5 separate regions of the Mus musculus genome follow, and all the other regions are reported to be linked to region 1. Evidence: microRNA targets listed by miRTarBase, many of them from high-throughput screens and not tested one by one. Region 1 holds a microRNA gene; each other region holds the end of a gene's coding sequence.

What was found. Region 1 holds the annotated microRNA mmu-miR-146a-5p (UGAGAACUGAAUUCCAUGGGUU, at 1,850-1,871, opposite strand). A microRNA usually pairs through its seed, bases 2 to 8, with sites in the 3' UTR of a target mRNA and lowers its output. Matches are read on the target gene's strand: a 7mer-m8 pairs with bases 2 to 8, a 7mer-A1 pairs with bases 2 to 7 and ends in A, and an 8mer does both.
Region 2: miRTarBase lists Rsad2 as a target of mmu-miR-146a-5p. Seed matches in the 3' UTR shown: 7mer-A1 at 3,092-3,098.
Region 3: miRTarBase lists Wnt5a as a target of mmu-miR-146a-5p. Seed matches in the 3' UTR shown: 7mer-m8 at 2,442-2,448 and 7mer-m8 at 2,930-2,936.
Region 4: the mRNA of Wnt1 is a reported target of mmu-miR-146a-5p. Seed matches in the 3' UTR shown: 8mer at 721-728 and 7mer-m8 at 1,090-1,096.
Region 5: miRTarBase lists Map1b as a target of mmu-miR-146a-5p. Seed matches in the 3' UTR shown: 8mer at 810-817.

Annotation. Positions count from the first base shown.
Region 1 is chr11:43,372,586-43,376,736 of GRCm38, forward strand. Mir146 (microRNA 146) reads right to left here and starts at 1,876; the gene lies at 1,812-1,876.
Region 2 is chr12:26,442,112-26,446,111 of GRCm38, forward strand. Rsad2 (radical S-adenosyl methionine domain containing 2) reads right to left here. Exons shown (of 6, transcript NM_021384.4): 6 at 632-3,459. The coding sequence ends at 3,295. Among named protein-coding and RNA genes, the nearest start is that of Rsad2, 12 kb to the right of the region's middle.
Region 3 is chr14:28,522,261-28,526,260 of GRCm38, forward strand. Wnt5a (wingless-type MMTV integration site family, member 5A) reads left to right here. Exons shown (of 5, transcript NM_009524.4): 5 at 222-4,000. The coding sequence ends at 680. Among named protein-coding and RNA genes, the nearest start is that of Wnt5a, 19 kb to the left of the region's middle.
Region 4 is chr15:98,792,221-98,796,220 of GRCm38, forward strand. It overlaps Wnt1 (wingless-type MMTV integration site family, member 1), which reads left to right. Exons shown (of 4, transcript NM_021279.4): 4 at 196-1,610. The coding sequence ends at 684. Among named protein-coding and RNA genes, the nearest start is that of Wnt1, 4.4 kb to the left of the region's middle.
Region 5 is chr13:99,422,457-99,426,456 of GRCm38, reverse strand. Map1b (microtubule-associated protein 1B) reads left to right here. Exons shown (of 7, transcript NM_008634.2): 7 at 496-4,000. The coding sequence ends at 651. Among named protein-coding and RNA genes, the nearest start is that of 6430562O15Rik, 12 kb to the right of the region's middle.

The DNA of each region.
Region 1 (4,151 bases):
TGCGCATCTGCTGCTCTCCACGGCTTGTCTGCCGAGGTCATGTGGCCAGCAGCTCTCAAGCTTCTCATGCTATGACTTCCTCCATGATGAACAATACCCTTGAACTGTGAGCCAAAATCAACCATTATTTTTGCCAGGCCATTTTATCATAATAACAGGGGAAAAAATCCTTTTGTTGATGTGTCTATATTATGGAGATGAGGCTTGGTAAGATTCACTGAGATCGTATAGGCAAAGCCCTGGATTTAGGAGTCGATGCACAGTAAACACCTACGTTCCTCAGTTGAAAGACTGAGCATGTGGGTGCTGTACAGTCCCCCATCTCATGCTACCTCCCTCTCTTTTCATTCAGAGACAAGAGTAAGAAGGAAATCCCAGGACACCAAGACGTAGTGATGAGTCAAAGAGGAGTTCCCAAAGCACAGGGCACATTCCTAATTCCCCACTAATTCAAAAGCTTAATAAAGTCCAGATAATCAGCAGCAGCAAATCAAGCCCAACTCTCAGAAGAGACCCAACATGCTTGGTGACAGAGGTCTTTATTGCCTCTCTACAAGGACCTGAGCCCCATCATTTAATAGACTATATGTCCAAATAGACTTTCTAAGGCTTCTTAATCCTCATCCCTGGAAGAAACTGTCAGTTACAGTGGAGTGTAATTACAACTTCTTTTGTCTTGTTTGGAGGTACAAAAGAACACTCTACCCCTTGTTTGCTTAAAGTAGGCAAGAAAGCACAGGTTCAAATAAAAGGGATGAGGGGCTATAAGAAGGATGTGTTCTTTATCCTTTTTTGCTACATATCTGAAAAAGCAGCCAAACACCTCAGCAGACCATGCTAAAGGATAATTGCCACATACAATTAATTCCATCTGGTCCCATAAAGAGACTGGGAAATCACTGCTTGGCAATCCTGTGTCTCTCAAGCTTCATTAAAGTGGTGTTTCCCATGAGTCTCCTATAACAGCATGCATAGCACTTAGTCCCCTTCATACCTGACTCATCCTAAATCATGGAAATGTAAACAAGAGTCACAGCAGCAAGAACCACTCAGTGAGGCTATTTATAGGATGCTTCGCTTTTCCCAACCGGAGGAGGAATTGCCATACTATATTGCTTAGCACTGTCAACCTGACACAATCTTGGATCATTTAGAAAGAGTGTTAGTGAGGGATCATCTCGATCAGGTTGACCTATGTATATCTGTGGATGGATATATTGATTATATTAATTGGCATAGGAAGATCCAAGCCCACTGTAGGCAGCATCATTCCCTAGGCAGGTGATCCTAGACTCTTTAAGTGTAGAGAGGGGGTCAAGTACAAGTAAGCATATATATTTTTTCTCTATTTTTTTCCTCTTTGTTGAGACACAATCTCACTATATAGCTCTGGCTAGCCTGGAACTTGCTCTGTACATCAGGCTGGCCTACCAGAGAGCCACCTGCCTCTGCTTCCAAATTTCTTGGAGTGAAGGTATGTGCCACAATGTTTGGCTCTCTTTTTCTTCTTGACGATGTATGAGACGAGCTGCTTCAAGTTCCTACTTTGTCTTCCCTATAATGATCAGCTGTGACCTGGAATTATAATCTAATAAACCCTTTCTCCCCTAAATTGTTTTTGTCAAGATATTTTATCAGAGCAACAGAAATGAAATTAGAACACACATCAATCCAACATGACTCCCTCCGGTGCCAGCAGTTCCACGCTTCACCCCACTCTCTCCACTCTTCAAGTTCCTTGGCAGACTATGAAGGCCTTCAGAGTTTGTTCCAACCAGTGTTCTTCAGGTCCGTGATGACAGAGCTATCCCAGCTGAAGAACTGAATTTCACAGGTCTGACATTGATATAACCCATGGAATTCAGTTCTCAGAGCTGGGGATACACACAGACTCTCCAGATGAGGCCTTCCTCCCAGGCCAGATCCTGCCAGCCCTGTAAAAACACAAGAGAAATCTCTGATAAATCCAAAAGCACGGCCTCTGCAGACTGGACACTCTTGATGCATAAGGATCTGGGACACAAGATAGGCAAGTTCATAAGCAATCATTAAACATGCTGGGCATGTGGTGCAAGCCTGTAATCTCAACATTCATGAGCCTGCAGCAGGAGAAATGTCAGTTTGAGGCCACCCCATAATCCCAGCGAAGAAGAAGGTGCATCAAGAGGACTGCTGGTCCAAGGGCAGCCTGAAGTACGTAGCAAGATTTTCTCAAAAGCAATCAGGAACATGACAGATGGTCTTTCCGTCCCCACTGTGCCCTCATACATGTGCCCCTGGCCTGGAAAACTGCCCTCAACGCCTATTCCTCCTGAGGCTCTCACCTACTGAATCACCTCCTCAGCAAGACCATCAATAGCAGAGATGACTGGATTGTCACCCTGTGTCTCTTCTGTGTTCACCGAACCCACCACCCCTCCCCCCCACACACCGTGTACACACACTCCTGGCACAAAGGCCCCATTTCCTAGAGTGACCCAGTTCTACATGGAGACAGAGCGCACAGTACAGCTGCACCCACACCATGCAATGTGGGCCATGCACCACCCATGATAGGGCAGGGCATGGCACTAGATGATCTTTGAAACTGTATTTCTTCACGTCAGCAAGAGCAGGACCTTCCCCTTTTCAAGCCACTGCTATTTAGGCATCTGTTAGAATCATTGAGTGTAATAGCCTCACTAATACCTCGTCTCCGTTCCCCAGTGATACCTGCCATTCTCCTGTGTCATGTTCAATCCTTCCCTTCATAGTTATAAACTAATTGATAGAGCCTTTGATGTCATTGTTGATAAATACTATCTCCCAAACAAGACTATATTTTCACAGGGGCAGAGCCCATGCTAGTGCTTTTTTTTGAAAGTATATAAACAACAGCTCGGCAAAATGGAGCATTCCTGTAACCCTAGCACTCTTGAGGTTAAGGCAGGAGGATTTCTGTGAGTTCAAGGTCATCCTGGGTAGCATTATGGGTTCCAGACCAACTAGCATTATAGAGTAAGTCTCTGAACAAAAGACCCCCCTACAACAACAAGTAATTTTTTTTAAATAATTGTAACTGTTTCTTTGAAATAGAACTCACGACTATACAATTTACCTACTCATAAAGGATAAAACTCAATGGCTTTCAATATTACCATGAAGTTGTTTGATAGCCACCATAGTTAATCTAAGAATGTTTTAATCATCCCTAAACTACATGCTAATCACATTTACTCCTGACTTCTATACCCGACCTCTAGGCCATGTAAATACATATTATTTCCACTTTTCCTAAATATTTATTTTTTATTGTTTATTTTAAGTATGTGTAAGTGTGTGTGTGTGTGTGTGTGTGTGTGTGTGTGTGTGTACATGAATGCAGGTGGCAAAGGAGGCTACAGAGTCCCCCTAGAGCTAGATTTACAAGTTGTTGTGAGCCACCAACATGGGTTCTGGGGAGCAAACTTGGCACCTCTGCAAGAACAGTCTGTGCTTTTAAACACAGCCCCCTCTCCAGCCCACCTCTGCTCTATCTCAACTACAAATGCTTCTAGGGCCATTCCCAGCTCTGTGCTGATAGATGCTGTCATTTCTCTTGACTCTGTAACTCAGAGTAGATGGTGGGGTTCCATTACATCCATGTCTCTTTAGAGAACTCTCACACTCTCCACTAAAGCTGCTCCACCATTTGACATTTCCTCCGCCAGGGTCTGGGGGTTCCTTTCTCCACAGCCTTGCTATATGGCCTGACTTTTTGATTGTAGTTCTCCCAGCAGGTACAAAGCGGTGCCTCACTGTGGTTTTGATTTGCCTCTCCCTGGTGGCTAATGAGGTTGCGCACCTTTTCATCTATTTACTGCATTTGCACAGCTACTTTGTTCAGACAAAAAAAAAAAATTCACATATTTTGCAACTTCTAAACTGGGCTGTTTGTCTTTTTATCATTAAATTATAAGAATTATATTCTAGATATATCATATGATTCATATTTCCAGGGGGGGTTCTGACCCTATAAGCTCACTTTTAACTTTTTTCATGTCGGAGTAGGGAGTAGGTGTTGGTTCCATAATATTATTTCCAGCTTCTAGAACACACTTGGATCATAGACACAGTCCAGAAATTTTTTTTCAAGAAAGGAGACAGAGTAAATGCTATCCTGGGTTCTTAAA
Region 2 (4,000 bases), not on the chromosome of region 1:
GTTGAAGTGGGGGAAGTGCCCGGGAGAAGATGGCATTCAGCAGAATTGGACGGCCACCATTGCCAATCAGCAGAGCTTCATGACCACCACTGAGTCTTCTAAAATATTCAGTTCAGATCCGGTGCTGGAAACCTGCCCTTCTGTGTGAACTACTGCTGCAAAGGTGACTATATATCGGGCTTTACTTGACAATTGTAAGCTGGACTGTGGATATCTCAGGACTCTGCCATTTCATGGGGACTGGGCCTAGAAGAGCAGATTTGGTTCTGGGTCCTGAACTGCTGACCAAGTATTACCAAGTACTATCAAGTACTACAAAGTATTACCAAACAGTATCACCCTTCACATTGGTGGCCACAGAAAGGGCTTTGGGACAACCTTTTCTGGCCAGCTGCACAACTGCCCTTCTGAGACTGATAGGGTTTTGATGGCCGGGCTCCCAAACAGTGCCTTTAATGTTAGGCTGGAACATTTTCTCCAGCGGCTCAGCTCCATGCAGCCCTGCTGCAGAGTGGAATGTCAGGAGCTGACAGTATCCATAACTTGGCTGAGTTATAAAGTGAACTCACGTCTAGCAAACTCACCATGTAAAAGTGCAGTGATTATAACACATCAAAGAGATACTAACACAGAGTCTTAGGCCACGTATAGAACATTTTAATTCACAGATCATGTTACCATACATTAGAGCGATGCCTCAGAACACAGTGTAATTCCACAGAGAGATACATATACATATATCCCTGAGCATTAGACCTCATCTGGACATACTCACATGAGGCCTGCGTGATGGTTCTTTGTCTAATAATAGCTTATGAAACAACATCAATCCATCAAGAGGGCAGTCCATGAGCTGAGTTACTGCGGTAAGGAGCTAACTGCTGCTGGGTGTGATTGGTCGCCTGTTTATCTATGCAACCATTAGACTCCAAACTCCAAACAGATCGAAACCTGGGACCTTTTTTTTTTTTTTCAAATAACACCATGAAGCGTCCCTCTTACAAAAACACAGCCCATGATTTTATCATTGAACACATTATAACAGAGACACCAAAGGCTGTAAAATCAGTGTGAGATGTCCTAGCCTCTGAAGTTCTTGAGTAAAACCCCCTTCACAGCATTACTACTCTGCATCAATCAGTCATGGGACACAAGGCATCAGCCTGTAACACTTAACAAATGTCCACTAGATCATCCCCTATTCTCCCAGCAGAGAGCATCTGCTTCACAAAATGAGCACCCAGATTTAACACTGAAAATGTAACCAATGAATGATCTAATCCAAGTTTGATCTTTACTGTGATAATAAAATATTGTAATTCTTTCCTTTAGGAAAGGGAGATTTTTGAATATTTTAAGCACAGAGATCTCACACACCTCCTGTGCATGCACAAGGCGGGGGGTGGGGGGGTACATTTAGAATGGTGGCTCATTTCCCAAGCAGATTCTCATCATGTTCTACTTTAATCAGGGAAAGAGACATGCAGCTTCCCTCAGCCAGGAGAAAATATACTGCAATTCAGAAGGTTGGACCTCAGCTTCATGATTGCTTTCCTCTCATTTGATCAAGTGGGTGTCTGGCCATGTCCTCTGGGATTTCCCAGGTGAACTAAGCACACAGGACTTAACTAAAAAAAAAAATCACAATCTTCAGGGGGAATGTGACTCAAATTTCACATAGAAAAATCTACATAGGAGTTGGTTAATACACACGTGCAATCCCTAGCACTTGAGAGGGTGAGGTTAGGGCAGAGGTATCATGAGTTCCAGGCCAGCCTGGGCTACATAGTTATATTTATACTCAAGCAAAAATAGGTAAAACACACACACACACACACACACACACACTAGAAAACACAGAAAACCCTGACCTATATTTTTCATGAGACAAAGTGTGTCTCAGTTGAATTATAATGACCTAACTAAAGTATGAACATCTTTTGTGAGTAAATACCCCAAATTCCAGTTCCTTAGAAAAATTTTAGTATTAATATAAGCACCAAAAAAAACCCCAAACAAAAGCAAATAAAACAAAGAAGGAACAGAACCAAAATCCACCAAGTCCTAAAAATAGACTCAGAAGCAAAGTTTCTGAGATACTTAATGAGGTCTGACTTCCCGGGGCCCTCTAGCGGCCACAGTGGAACTACAGGGGAGTTCAGTTTCTTGGACAGAACAAAATTTTCCATGGCTTTACTCTTTGATAGGAAATTATTTTCCAAGCAGTGAGGCACTGTCTAGGCTTAATAACCTCATGCAATGCTTCCACAGGAAGATTTTGGCTAGTTCACATTCTGTCTTTTGCCTTTTTGGTGTAAAGAAGGAACTGTTTTTGGTTTTGTTTTTGTTATTTTTGTTTTTTTTTTTTTGTTTTGTTTTGTTTTGTTTTTTTGTTTTTCTCATGTTGACCTAGACTAGGTCAAGTTTCAGTGTTTCTTGAAAGATATGCTAAGGAACCACAGGCACATTTATACCAAGCCAGCTGCCACATTTTATATTCCTGAAAGACTCCTTCCTGTCTATCCCCCCACGACTCTTCTGGACGTGCCACATGGCCTTGGAGCTTTTCAGAAAAGTGTGACAACCTTTCAGCATGAGAGACTCAAGCAGCCTCAATGCCAGGGCAGTTGCAGCTGCAGAAGTGGCATCCTCATGGCCACACCCTGGGAGGTAAAGTGTACCTTGGCTTTGTCAAGAACCCTGAAGGAATTGCTGCAGTATAAAGCAGCCATCTTGAAGCAGCAGCATCAGAGGCTGGGACCATGAACAAACAGCCTGTTCTAGGAAATAACTCCTTCCATAAGAGTAAGATTCTAACTTAAGGCTCTATGAGATATGCCTTGATTCTACACTTTTGAGTAAAAAGTCCAATATTCCAAAGCAGAAAAGCATTAGAATAGTCAGCAGTAATTGGAGGGTGTGTTTTGTGAAGTTTCCTGTTGACAAAATTGGCATAGTTAGCAAAAAATAACCCAGTTTCTCAAGGGGAACAAAAAGGAAAAAGGAAATGTGGGATTCACAGTAAAATCCACACAAAAATTCAAATATAAATGAAATGCTGGTTCTTAGGGGTCACTGGACCTTGCTCCTCTGAGAACCGAACTCTCTCCTGTGGAGGACGATTATCTGCTGCATAATTTTACTCCCTTTTTAGTTCAGTCAAACTGAAAGAAAAATAAACAGACTGTATTCTAATAACAACAGTCCGTAGATAGCCAGAAGATGTAGCTTGTTGAAGGATAGCTGGGCGTGAATGTCCCTGTAGCTGGTCGGAGTTTCCTTCCCATCTCAGCCTCACCAGTCCAGCTTCAGGTCAGCTTTACTCCACACATACTTTCCGCCACGCTTCAGAAACATCTTCTCATCAAATCCACTGAACTTTATTGCTTCTTCCACGCCAACATCCAGAATAGACTTGGAAGGGTCCTTCCGGCCACCGGTACAGTTCAGAAAGCGCATCTGGGAAAAGCAAGGTAGAAATAAGTATGCTTCCATATGGTTTATCCTGTAAAACTCAATGGAGGGTATCCTATCAAAAGTATTTCCGACATCCCAAGCATGGTCTATGTTTACTGAGATCTAAAATCAGATTCCATGCCCAACTCACATGACGAACACCCATGCCGAGGGTGACTTGAACATTTGTAGGGGCCGAGTGTCATGAACAGTACAGTCTTACGGCCCAAGGACTTGATGCTTTCTTGGAGTGGAGAGGACATTAAGAACAGACTTTCTCTAAGTGTGGGCATCGGAATTTGTTAGACATGTGCACTAAGGTAACTGAGAGCACAGAGCAGAGCGGCTGCTGCCCTGTGTTGTGCAGAAGCTCAGTTGAATGACCTCAGTAAAATGGCAGCTGTGTGTGATGTGAATCCTCACCCAGGCTTTTCCTGGAAGGAATAGGGACAAGACAGAGGCTACCGAGGGGAGCAAGGGCTGGGTCAAGAACAGAAGTTCCCCCAACACATCCTATCCTCATAGACTTCCTCTGATTCTTTCC
Region 3 (4,000 bases), not on the chromosome of region 1:
ATCTGAATGTGATAGTGGTGGACAGAATGATAAAGACTAAGAAGTTGCAGAGTTTCAAAGAAGGCAATACAATATTTCTAGTGGTGGGAAATGAAGATGTAACACAGCCTTGAATTCAGCCAAGGGACATGGCTGCCTCTACAAAGTGTGTACTAGGCCCATGCCTGCATCTCGCCTCCTCCAGGGATCAGTACAATAACCTTCCCCCTTTCTTCCTACAGACAGTATACAACCTGGCAGATGTAGCCTGTAAGTGTCATGGAGTGTCTGGCTCCTGTAGCCTCAAGACGTGCTGGCTGCAGCTGGCGGACTTCCGGAAGGTGGGCGATGCCCTCAAGGAGAAGTATGATAGCGCGGCGGCCATGAGGCTCAACAGCCGGGGCAAGCTGGTGCAGGTCAACAGCCGCTTCAACTCCCCGACCACGCAGGACCTGGTCTACATCGACCCCAGTCCGGACTACTGTGTGCGCAACGAGAGCACTGGCTCGCTGGGCACGCAGGGACGCCTGTGCAACAAGACCTCAGAGGGGATGGACGGCTGCGAGCTCATGTGCTGTGGGCGTGGCTATGACCAGTTTAAGACAGTGCAGACCGAACGCTGTCATTGCAAGTTTCACTGGTGCTGCTATGTCAAATGCAAGAAGTGCACGGAGATTGTGGATCAGTTCGTGTGCAAATAGTGGTGTGCCTGCCCTTCACCCAGTCCCACTCCCAGGACCCACTTATTTATAGAAAGTACAGTGCTTCTGGTTCTTTTTATTTCTCCCCCAAGAATTGCAGCTGGAACCATGTGTTTTGTTTTGTTTTATTTTGTTTTTTCTTTTCTGTTACCATCTAAGAACTCTGTGGTTTATTATTAATATTATAATTAATATTTGGCAATAGTGGGGGAAACTAAGAAAAATATTTATTTTGAGGATCTTTGCAAAGTTAGTACAAAATTTCTTTCTTCTGATGCTACAGGATAAAGGGGAAAAACTATGTATTCGAACTTAGCTGTGCAGTTGGGGGTTCACATCTAGAAGGTGTAGGAGCCATTTTCTTCTCAAACAGAGAGTCCTTTGAGATGGGTGGTATCCAGGTGAAGGAGGAGGTACAGACCCATGAATAACAGTTCCTGTGACCAAAATGAATTGCAGGTGCTCTGGTACAAAAGATCTTAAATATAGATATATTAAATATACATATATGCCAAAAATACAGAATATGAGACACTCCCTAACCCAGAGGTTACCAGCCTGGTTTTGTGGGTTTTTTGTTTTGTTTTGTTTTTTCTTTTTTTGGGTTTTGTTTGTTTGTTTGTTTGTTTGTATTTTTGGTGTGTGTGTGTGTGTATTTCTAGAATGATCTTTTAGAAGGTACAAGCAAGAATCTCATATCTTCAGAAGCAGGCATATCATGTATGTTACTGTGTCCCACCTACAGATACTCCATTCATGAATGGGCCTTTTTCTAACAGTTCATGAATATTGGGGAGCCGGTGGGCTGGGGGAGGGAGGTCCCCAGAAATTAGAAAACTTGAAGTTTCCTACATTGAGGCCATAATCTTGTGTTAGCCCAGCTGATTCTTAATACCAGACTTTTAGATCCATAAAGGAATTTTTGACTAAAAAAAAAAAATCTTGTTTTGAAAGCCATCTTATTTTCTTAAAAATGAAAAATTACCCATGAATCCCATTTGCAACCCCTCACCCCCACAGGCAACAAGAAAGTCCCATGTAGTTGAGCACTGCGAACACCTCTGTGAGGAGATGATGGCAGCCATCTTCCTGCATGATCCCATGCCCTTTCTGGACTCTCTGCTGGCCATGCTTCCGAATGGCAGCCCTGGTGGACACTCACTGCTGGTAGGGCAGAAAATGTACACGAGGAGCCATGTTCAGAACCAGCCACTTAGGGGTTGTTCTCTGAGGCTTTTCTTTGGAGGTACGGTAACTTGATGTGTTTTGATGATATCTCTTGGCCCAGGGAGTCCACAGAGGTGTTGCAGCTGTTTGGTTGTTATCCTCCTGCGTTTAGACTTTCCATTTGTGCTTTTCCTATTACCCTGCAGGTGTACCCTAAAACTGTTCCTAGTGTACTTGAACAGTTGCATTTATAAGGGGGGATGTGGTTTAATGGTGCCTGATATCTCAGTTTTTTTGTATATAACATATATATAAATATACATATATAAATATAGATATAATTATATCTCAGTGCAGTCTGGGATTTAGACCTACAGTTTTCTCTGGGCTTGCTCTCTGCCTGGAGTATCGTCCTTCATTGCAGTCCAATTGGGATTTCTTTTTTTCCAAAAATTTTGAGTCTTAACATTGACCTGTGACAGGATCCTACCACGAATACCAGGAAGCAAGCTAAGACTCGGAGGAAGCTCTCAGGGCTCATGTCCTGAATGTATGTTGGTTAGAAAGTAGCCTTTCTGCTTCCTGCCCATGGCCAGTTCTCCACCCTCTCTTTGGTGTTCTTTGTGGGGAGGGCACTGTGGTTTGTCGCAGCCCTGGACTTCGAGAGGCTCCCAGAACCCAGGATCACCAGCCTCCTGTCTGTTTGCTTCACTCCTTTCCCAGGGAGGACTTGGGACTGTCCTGTCTGACAGGACGGATCTGAGTTCCCGAAGCAAACCAGCTCACCACATAGATAGCTAGTTTAAACAATGTTTTAAAATAAGGGCACCTCTGTTTCAAAAGTGACATCTGCTGTGTTGTTTTCGAGGCCTGATACTCTTACAAGGTTTGAAAAAAAATGTGTGTATCCATTCATGGGCTTGGTAGCCTTCTGGTCACCTCAGTCCTGTGGCTCTTAACTTATTGCCCAACAATATTCATTTCCCCTCAGCTACAATGAATTGCAAGCAAAAGATGTTGAAAAAAAGCACTAATTTAGTTTAAAATGTCACTTTTTGGTTTTTATTCTACAAAAACCATGAAGTTCTCTCTCTCTCTCTCTCTCTCTCTTATTTGTTAAATCAGATTATGTTCTTTTTTTGTTTTTGTTTTTAGTGATTCATGTTTATGAGCAGAGTGGAGTTTAACAATCCTAGCTTTAAAAAAAACCTATTTAATGTAAGATATTCTACGCATCCTTCAGATATTTTGTATATCCCCTATGGCCTTTATTCTGTACTTTTAATGTACATATTTCTGTCTTGTGTGATTTGTATATTTCACTGGTTAAAAAAAAGAACATTGAAAGGCTTATGCCAATGGAAGATAGAATATAAAATAAAATGTTACTTGTATATTGGTAAGAGGTTTCAGTTGTCCTTCAGCTAATTCATGTAGAGAAATATTTTTAGTTGAAGCCACAAGAGACAGCTTAGGGCAGTTATGTGTTCAAATAACAGAAGAACAGACTTTTTTTTTTTTTTTAAACCAAACCCAAACTGTTGGGAAACCTCAATAGAGCTCTATATGTATTGGAACAAAAGTGGAATTCTCTTCTCCTATATATGTTCCTTCAAAAAGAGAGAGAGAATCAAGCAGATGGCTTAAAGCTGGTCACAGGATTGCTCACATTCTTTTGGCATTATGCATGCGACTTAATTGTTTGAGAGTGTGTTGCTATTGTAACATCCCAGAGATGAATCAAAAAGGCTCACCCTCTCACCCAGGAGCAGCTTTTCAGCTTATATACACATGCATGTACATGTGTGTGATATGCATGTGTGCATGCATGTTTGTATTTTTGTGCTTGCCACTATAACTATTGCACCTCTCTATTCGGTTTGACTGAAGAGGGGTCTTGTGGGACATCTCTGTGTCCCAGTCTTTATGGGAAGAAAGCAAGGGTCTGCAGAGAACAGGAACTAAAGAATCCCTGTGTGATGTGCAATTAATAGAAGGCCTCCTGCTTTCTGGAAATGTAGACCAGAATCTGGCCAGGACTGTAGACTGATACATTATCTGGTCCTTTGCCTTTTTCTTTTCCCTCCCTGCCCCTCCCCCTCTTGCTTTATGGATAACCTTGTAACATATTGAAACCTTTAAAGGAAACCAAG
Region 4 (4,000 bases), not on the chromosome of region 1:
GCCGAATGTCCCTATCTCAGCGGGCCATTTTGCACTTCCTCTCTCCCGAGCTTAGTCACACCTGGACCTTGGCTGAAGTTTCCACAGCATCGACGTGACCCGGGTGGGGTGGGGGTGGGGAAGTATGGGTGGTGGTTCGTGGGATGTTGGCTTTGACCTTTTCTTCCCTCCTCCCCTCGTCCCCTCCTCCCCCAGACCGTGTTCTCTGAGATGCGCCAAGAGTGCAAATGCCACGGGATGTCCGGCTCCTGCACGGTGCGCACGTGTTGGATGCGGCTGCCCACGCTGCGCGCTGTGGGCGACGTGCTGCGCGACCGCTTCGACGGCGCCTCCCGCGTCCTTTACGGCAACCGAGGCAGCAACCGCGCCTCGCGGGCGGAGCTGCTGCGCCTGGAGCCCGAAGACCCCGCGCACAAGCCTCCCTCCCCTCACGACCTCGTCTACTTCGAGAAATCGCCCAACTTCTGCACGTACAGTGGCCGCCTGGGCACAGCTGGCACAGCTGGACGAGCTTGCAACAGCTCGTCTCCCGCGCTGGACGGCTGTGAGCTGCTGTGCTGTGGCCGAGGCCACCGCACGCGCACGCAGCGCGTCACGGAGCGCTGCAACTGCACCTTCCACTGGTGCTGCCACGTCAGCTGCCGCAACTGCACGCACACGCGCGTTCTGCACGAGTGTCTATGAGGTGCCGCGCCTCCGGGAACGGGAACGCTCTCTTCCAGTTCTCAGACACACTCGCTGGTCCTGATGTTTGCCCACCCTACCGCGTCCAGCCACAGTCCCAGGGTTCATAGCGATCCATCTCTCCCACCTCCTACCTGGGGACTCCTGAAACCACTTGCCTGAGTCGGCTCGAACCCTTTTGCCATCCTGAGGGCCCTGACCCAGCCTACCTCCCTCCCTCTTTGAGGGAGACTCCTTTTGCACTGCCCCCCAATTTGGCCAGAGGGTGAGAGAAAGATTCTTCTTCTGGGGTGGGGGTGGGGAGGTCAACTCTTGAAGGTGTTGCGGTTCCTGATGTATTTTGCGCTGTGACCTCTTTGGGTATTATCACCTTTCCTTGTCTCTCGGGTCCCTATAGGTCCCTTGAGTTCTCTAACCAGCACCTCTGGGCTTCAAGGCCTTTCCCCTCCCACCTGTAGCTGAAGAGTTTCCGAGTTGAAAGGGCACGGAAAGCTAAGTGGGAAAGGAGGTTGCTGGACCCAGCAGCAAAACCCTACATTCTCCTTGTCTCTGCCTCGGAGCCATTGAACAGCTGTGAACCATGCCTCCCTCAGCCTCCTCCCACCCCTTCCTGTCCTGCCTCCTCATCACTGTGTAAATAATTTGCACCGAAATGTGGCCGCAGAGCCACGCGTTCGGTTATGTAAATAAAACTATTTATTGTGCTGGGTTCCAGCCTGGGTTGCAGAGACCACCCTCACCCCACCTCACTGCTCCTCTGTTCTGCTCGCCAGTCCTTTTGTTATCCGACCTTTTTTCTCTTTTACCCAGCTTCTCATAGGCGCCCTTGCCCACCGGATCAGTATTTCCTTCCACTGTAGCTATTAGTGGCTCCTCGCCCCCACCAATGTAGTATCTTCCTCTGAGGAATAAAATATCTATTTTTATCAACGACTCTGGTCCTTGAATCCAGAACACAGCATGGCTTCCAACGTCCTCTTCCCTTCCAATGGACTTGCTTCTCTTCTCATAGCCAAACAAAAGAGATAGAGTTGTTGAAGATCTCTTTTCCAGGGCCTGAGCAAGGACCCTGAGATCCTGACCCTTGGATGACCCTAAATGAGACCAACTAGGGATCCAGGTCTCCTGAGAGAAAAGCCTGCTCAAAAGCTCCTGCAGGGCTCTTCCTCCTGTTCTGGCAGCAGCTGGTTAAGTGATGAGGACAAGTGTGTCACCTGATGGGGACTCAGCACACCAACAGTCCAGCTCTCCTAGTGCAAGAGCTGGGGAGGTAGCAGCAATGAAAGGAAAGGATAGCCATGACTACATCCTGAGAGGGGGGGGGGGAAGCTCAAGCAGAAAGGGTGTCATTGCCCCTGGGAGGCTATCAACCTTTTCTGCAGTCTGAGCTTTGAGCAGTGGAAGGCCCACCTCTTACACTCTTCCTGGAAATTCTTTATTAGCAACCCAACCCTAACCTACAGGTAAGGGACATCCAGGAACAAGCCATGGGTTAGAGCTGGAAAGATGGCTCAGAGGTTAAGAGCACTGGCTGCTCTTCTAGAAGTCCTGAGTTCAATTCCCAGCAACCACATGGTGACTCACAACCATCTGTTAATGGGATCTGGTGCACTCTTCTGGTGTGTCTGAAGACAGCTATGGTGTGCTCATATAAATAATAATAAAGAAATGATATTAAAGAAAAGCCATGGGTTAACAGTGGGCCCTAAACTTGAACTAGAAAACTTAAAGATGCTCATAGGGAAGAAGAAAAGAGCAGAAAGCTTAGCTTCTAGACAGGGGTAAGGCTTAGAGCTCAATAAAAAAGGAACCCCAAGAGTGATTGGTCCACAATCAAAGCAGTAAGCTAACCACACCCACAAAGAGCCAGAATGAGGATTCCTTATGACCTGCAGGCTACCTCTGTGCTTGCAGTCACCAGTCAGCAGGAAAGGAATCCTTCTCAGAGTACTCAACCTGACGCCAGTCATTTCTTCCTCCCTTCCTTGTCCAACCAGAGCCTTAGCCCTGACTCAGGGAACACTAACCCTTTCCAATACCTGACCTTCATCATAGCCCCTTCCCACCAGAGAGGACCCGAAAGGCATTGACAGAAGCTACAGAGGACCCCCGCCTTCCCAAGAGCCATAACCAGTCTCAATCAGCTCAGAGAGTTTCTTCTTCTTCCCAGGATCCTTTGCTGCAGGCTATCACCTCTGGGGAAGGGGGGGGGGAAGAGGTGGGGGGGGAGGGGTGAACTCTGACCCCTGTTGGTTTTTTGACTCTGTGAGTGGGTAGAGAAGTAGATTCAGGGCCTGCTCAAGCCATTTCCTTGCCTTTCTCTCCACTGGCAAAGCTAGCACTGGGTCAGTTCTGATGAGTGGATCCAACCTGGGATACTGGATGTCTGGATGTCTAAAAGGTTCTGGGTCTCCAGTGATGATCATCCAGAAGAGCCTACTCAGTCCTAACCCAAGCTGAGCTATCAGCCCCTCAGCGCTCCCAAAGTATGAAGCCATTGGGCTGTCCCAGGGCACAAATGTGTGTGTGTCTGTGTGTGTGTCTGTGTGTGCATGCCTGCACATGCTGTGTTGCACGTGTGTGCCTGTGTGTATGTGTGCATGCACGCATGTGCACATGCACGCTTGTGTGTGTGTGTATGTGTGTATGTGTGTGTGCATGTGCACGTGTGTGCACGCATGTGCGAGAGTGTGTACGCGTGGGCTGCTGTAACTCAATGTATCAGGGAGAAGCAGCAGAATGGAGGAACCAAACCATCGCCGACCAATCTCACCCAAATCCTAACCCAGGAACCTGGAAACTAGTGTGCTGAGCAGAGGTGTCTTTCAGGAGTTGGAAAGAGAGCACCACCACCCCCTTTTGCCCAGGTATTTGACACATCTTTTGTCTTCAGTCTTCTCAGTCCCATTTGCCTTGCTTGACCCTTAATTGAGAATATTCAAATATCCATCTTTGTTGTCGCTTAAGGAGGGGATAGGCTTCAAATGACATAGTGTCTGTGACAGCTTGGGTTGTGTGGACGGCTACTGATACCTTTTCTGTACTAGCCTCTGTCAAATGCTGGCAGTGCAGCAATCTACAAGCCAGAGGTCCAGCCAGGACTCAACCAGGCCAACAAACACTAACAGGCATAGAGGGAAAGACCCTCGGTGTGCAGGAAAGGCTTCAGCACCCTTCTCTTCCAGGGGCTGGAACTTGGAAGAAGTGTGCCATGGGAAAATGCAGAACAAAGCCAGGGCCCAACACAACATGCACAAATAAAAGGAAACACTTCAGATAAAAGTGCTGGAAATGTGTGGCGTGATGGTAGAGCACG
Region 5 (4,000 bases), not on the chromosome of region 1:
GAGAAGTACCAAAGTCGGTACTCCCCTCCTACAGCACAGACTCTGTTTTCAGGCCAATGTGTGGGCTTCTGGGGGTTTGAGCTACAATATTAAACTTCGTGCACTAAGTGTGGAATATATAGGCTGTACAACATCTGCCCCATGTTAATGGAAACACGAGAAACAAACAGTTCTCAACACCACTTCGTTAAAAAGCCATCTGAAATTTACATGCAAGTTCCTAGGTAATTTAGATTCTAGGCTTGAACTCTTCCCTTCAATGACATCCCAAAAAATTTTTTTTAAATTAAAAAAAAAAACCTTCTAATTTTTACAGCTTGGTTGTGGTTCTTGGAAAACATCAGTTGAAAACTTCATTGGTATTTTTCTGGTAAAACGGCATTTTTTTTCCTTTTATCCCTTTCTGCTAGTGATCCAACAGACACCTTGTTCTGTTTTTACTCTGGCATCTATCCCTGCTGTCCTTTAAATATCTCCTTTTCTCCCCCTCCGTAGGTGACTCTGATTCCGACACATGACTCCGAGGTGATGAGGGAGTGGTACCAGGAGACCCACGAGAAGCAGCAGGACCTCAACATCATGGTCTTAGCAAGCAGCAGTACAGTGGTCATGCAAGACGAGTCCTTCCCCGCATGCAAGATAGAACTGTAGAGACCGCAGCCGGCCACACCACAGGATTTGAACTGTGTTTCCAGAAATTCTTGAATTTGAAACTACCTTTTCTAAAACGTCCATTCATCCAATTAAGTCACTGAACAGTTATTACCTGCCAGATGCTATACTATGTCATGGTGATGCAAGTCACTGATAGTTCTCAATTTTTGCTGACTGCTAAGGGAAGTAACCATATTCCCACAATAGATTTCGAGTTACTGCAAAATTGCCTACCCCCGTTCATCTCTGCTGAACATTCGGAAGCCATGCACTCACGCACCCAACTGACTTCTGCTAGGTATTGGCATTTATCATAGAGAGAGAAAGAGAGGGAAAGAGAGTCAGCGGGAGGGGAGGGAGAGAGGCGGGAGAGAGGGACAAAGAGACTGCAGGAGAGAGAGAGAGAGTGAGAGGGGAAGAATCAGAAAGAAAAAGAATGCAAGAGACAAAGGTAGAGAGTTCTGATGAGATGCCCAGGGAGAGAGAGTGGGCAAGATGGGGTATAGAGAAGACACCAGCAACCAGGTCTGCATTTTCTCAGACCACAGCTATTCTGTGGTCTACACAGGTGGAGTTTCCCATTTTCATCAGAGTCATCAGAAAGAGTCTTATTCTCCTAAAGCGTGTTTCTAAAGAACAAAAAGAATGAAGCCTGTTACGAGGGCATGAGCTTTTTCACGCCTTAATTCAATGCCTTTGCTATTATAAAGGCTGCACACGGCATAATGTAGCAAGTGTAGACTGGATGAGTGAGTGGTTTGCGCCCCATTCAGAACTCTCAGACTTTTCGAACACGTGAGTAGGTTGATCTAAGGCATGCTCCCAGCATTTGTCTACCCAAGTCCACACCAAGTCAAGCTGCATGCAGCAACACCCAAGTCCACCCCGGTTAACTGAAGCAAATACCAAAGCAGGTGGGAGTACACATGGGAGACATTTTGCCTTAGGAAGTGACTTGAATGTACAAAGACACCTGATGCACTTATTTTTTAATGTGAGACAGCAAGTTTTTAAACCATCCATGTAGGATTGTAGATACTCCAGGGAAAGGAGCGTGTGGGGAGGGAAGGTACCAGAAGCTCATCTGATTGGCCCAACGGTTTAGTGCAGAGTCATGCTTGGTGAACATCACCACTTCTGATGTACCCGTGGCCACTCAACCAAATCCGTTGCACCTTTCGTAGCTTCTTTAATTCTTCAAGTTCAAGACCGGAATGGCTTCTTTGATCAGAACCAGGAAAACAGTGAATCTTATGGTGGAAGAGCTCTCAGCAAGTGTACAGCATCTGCCTTCCTTTGTCTTGCATTGGCTATTTTAATTTTCCATTAATTTCAACACATGGGAACACATGTACAGAAGATTTTTTTTTTTTTTTTTTTTTTTTTTAGCTACTCGAGAACTTTTCATAGATGAACTTTTTAACAAATGTTTTCATTTACAGGAAAACGCAAAGAAAATTTTGAAACGATGGTCTTTCTTTTTAATTATTATTTTAAGTGTTTTTTGTAAGACAAAAATTGAAGTTTTTTTAAGGTTCTGGCAAGATTTGAAGTCTGATATTGAAGTCATGATATTTATTTTTAAAAACCTGTCACTACCAGAAACGGTGGTACCTCCTGCCCTTTGACTCTCATACCGTGAAAGTTGAGTCCGTGCTGTTTGAGAGTGGGTAGGTGGCGGGGTAGGCTACTGTCCGGGGCATCACCCAGTGCTATCCCCTCCTCCTTTCAAGATTATTCACCATGAGGTAAAAGAGCCAAGTTCAGAAGTACCCTAGCACCCAGTTTGCTTGGGTTGGTTTTTTGTTTTTGTTTTTCCTGGAAAACATTCAGTGAGAGAAGTAATAGATTGAAAACAAATGAATTCTCAACTTCTATGTTGACCATGTAGAGAGTTCAGACATAATGTCTGTCGATGTCATCACTGAACCACAGACTTGCGCCGCCAGATCGCGAGGAAAACTGTCGCCAAGTTTCAAGTGGCAGATTCACGTCCCAGGGTTCAGAGGTGGCAAACTTCTCAGTGGCAGCTGTGCTCGGTCATGCTACGTTTCCTGCAGACTCTTAAGATCTACGGGGTAGTGAACAATGACCTCATTTTATTTTCTATGTTAGTTATTTATTTCAAAATTTACATTTTAGTTTATTTTCGTCTGTAAAGCGTATGTTTCGCACTGCTCTTTTACTCTGAGGGTTTAAACAATATTTCTCCAGGGGTTTCCTCACTGAGAACCCATGCAGTCTACTTAATGCTGTGAATCACATTTTCCAAATGTTTAATTTTTTAAAGAAAATTAATATTCTATTTTTGTTAGGTGTCTCTAGGAATGCAGCTTTTTTATTTATTATCCTGTTTCTTTCAAAACCCGTAACAGTGACACGTTAAAGGTACAAAACTGTCCTATCTGATGGAAAAGTCATCCTGATGAAAACAGAGTTCGTTGCCTGTAAGCCCACTTGCTTCTCACTTCATCAGACAAGCTCAATACACACAAGATAGTAATTTAATGGGAGCTGTTAGGCTGGTCCACACGTGAAGAGAAACAATTTCTAGCCTTCTTGCCAAATCCAGACCTCTGGTTGACTTTTCTTTCATAGAAGATGGAGTTATCTTCCAGTTTTCCAACTTAAATTTATTTAGCCTTTATATTATTTTGTTTTAATATATATATATAAATACCTTAGAAGAGCCATAGCCAGCCTTCAGTTATAACCACTCGACCCCCATACCTCTTATTGTTTCTACAGAATCTAATGGGGAAAAATGCTTCACAAAACTGTCACTGATCCATTGGCTCTGATTCCTACACAATCTGGCAGGCACCCTCCTGCACCCCTGTCCTCAGTGATGGCCACGGAGCCGAGCCGAGGACACCAGGGTGAAGTACATTTGCTTTACAAGGGGCTCCTGACCTCCCAGGCACCTCTCCTACCTGTGTGGCTAATCTGATCTTGCTAGTTCCATACATACACAATTAGTTTAGAGGTAGCCACCACAATGGGACCGTGTACATTTGTGGTGAAAGCTAAAAACCGACACAGACTTCTAGAAGATTTGTGCATACGATTCTTAATCCAATTGTATAGATTGAATATTTGAGTGGAAGGCATTTCCACCCTGTTTAAATGATGGAATTCTATTGAGCTAGCACTCCTGATCATGACCTTTTTAGTAGTATTTGTAAACAAAATTCTACAGAGACTAAATCTTAGCGATAATCCTCCATTTCAATTTTAACCAATTCTGTCCTCTTTTTCCAAACCCCGAACCCCATGCATGCTTTCTCAGTCTTGTGATGGGACTGGACACAGTGACCGACCCCTCGCCCAAACACCATTTTCCATG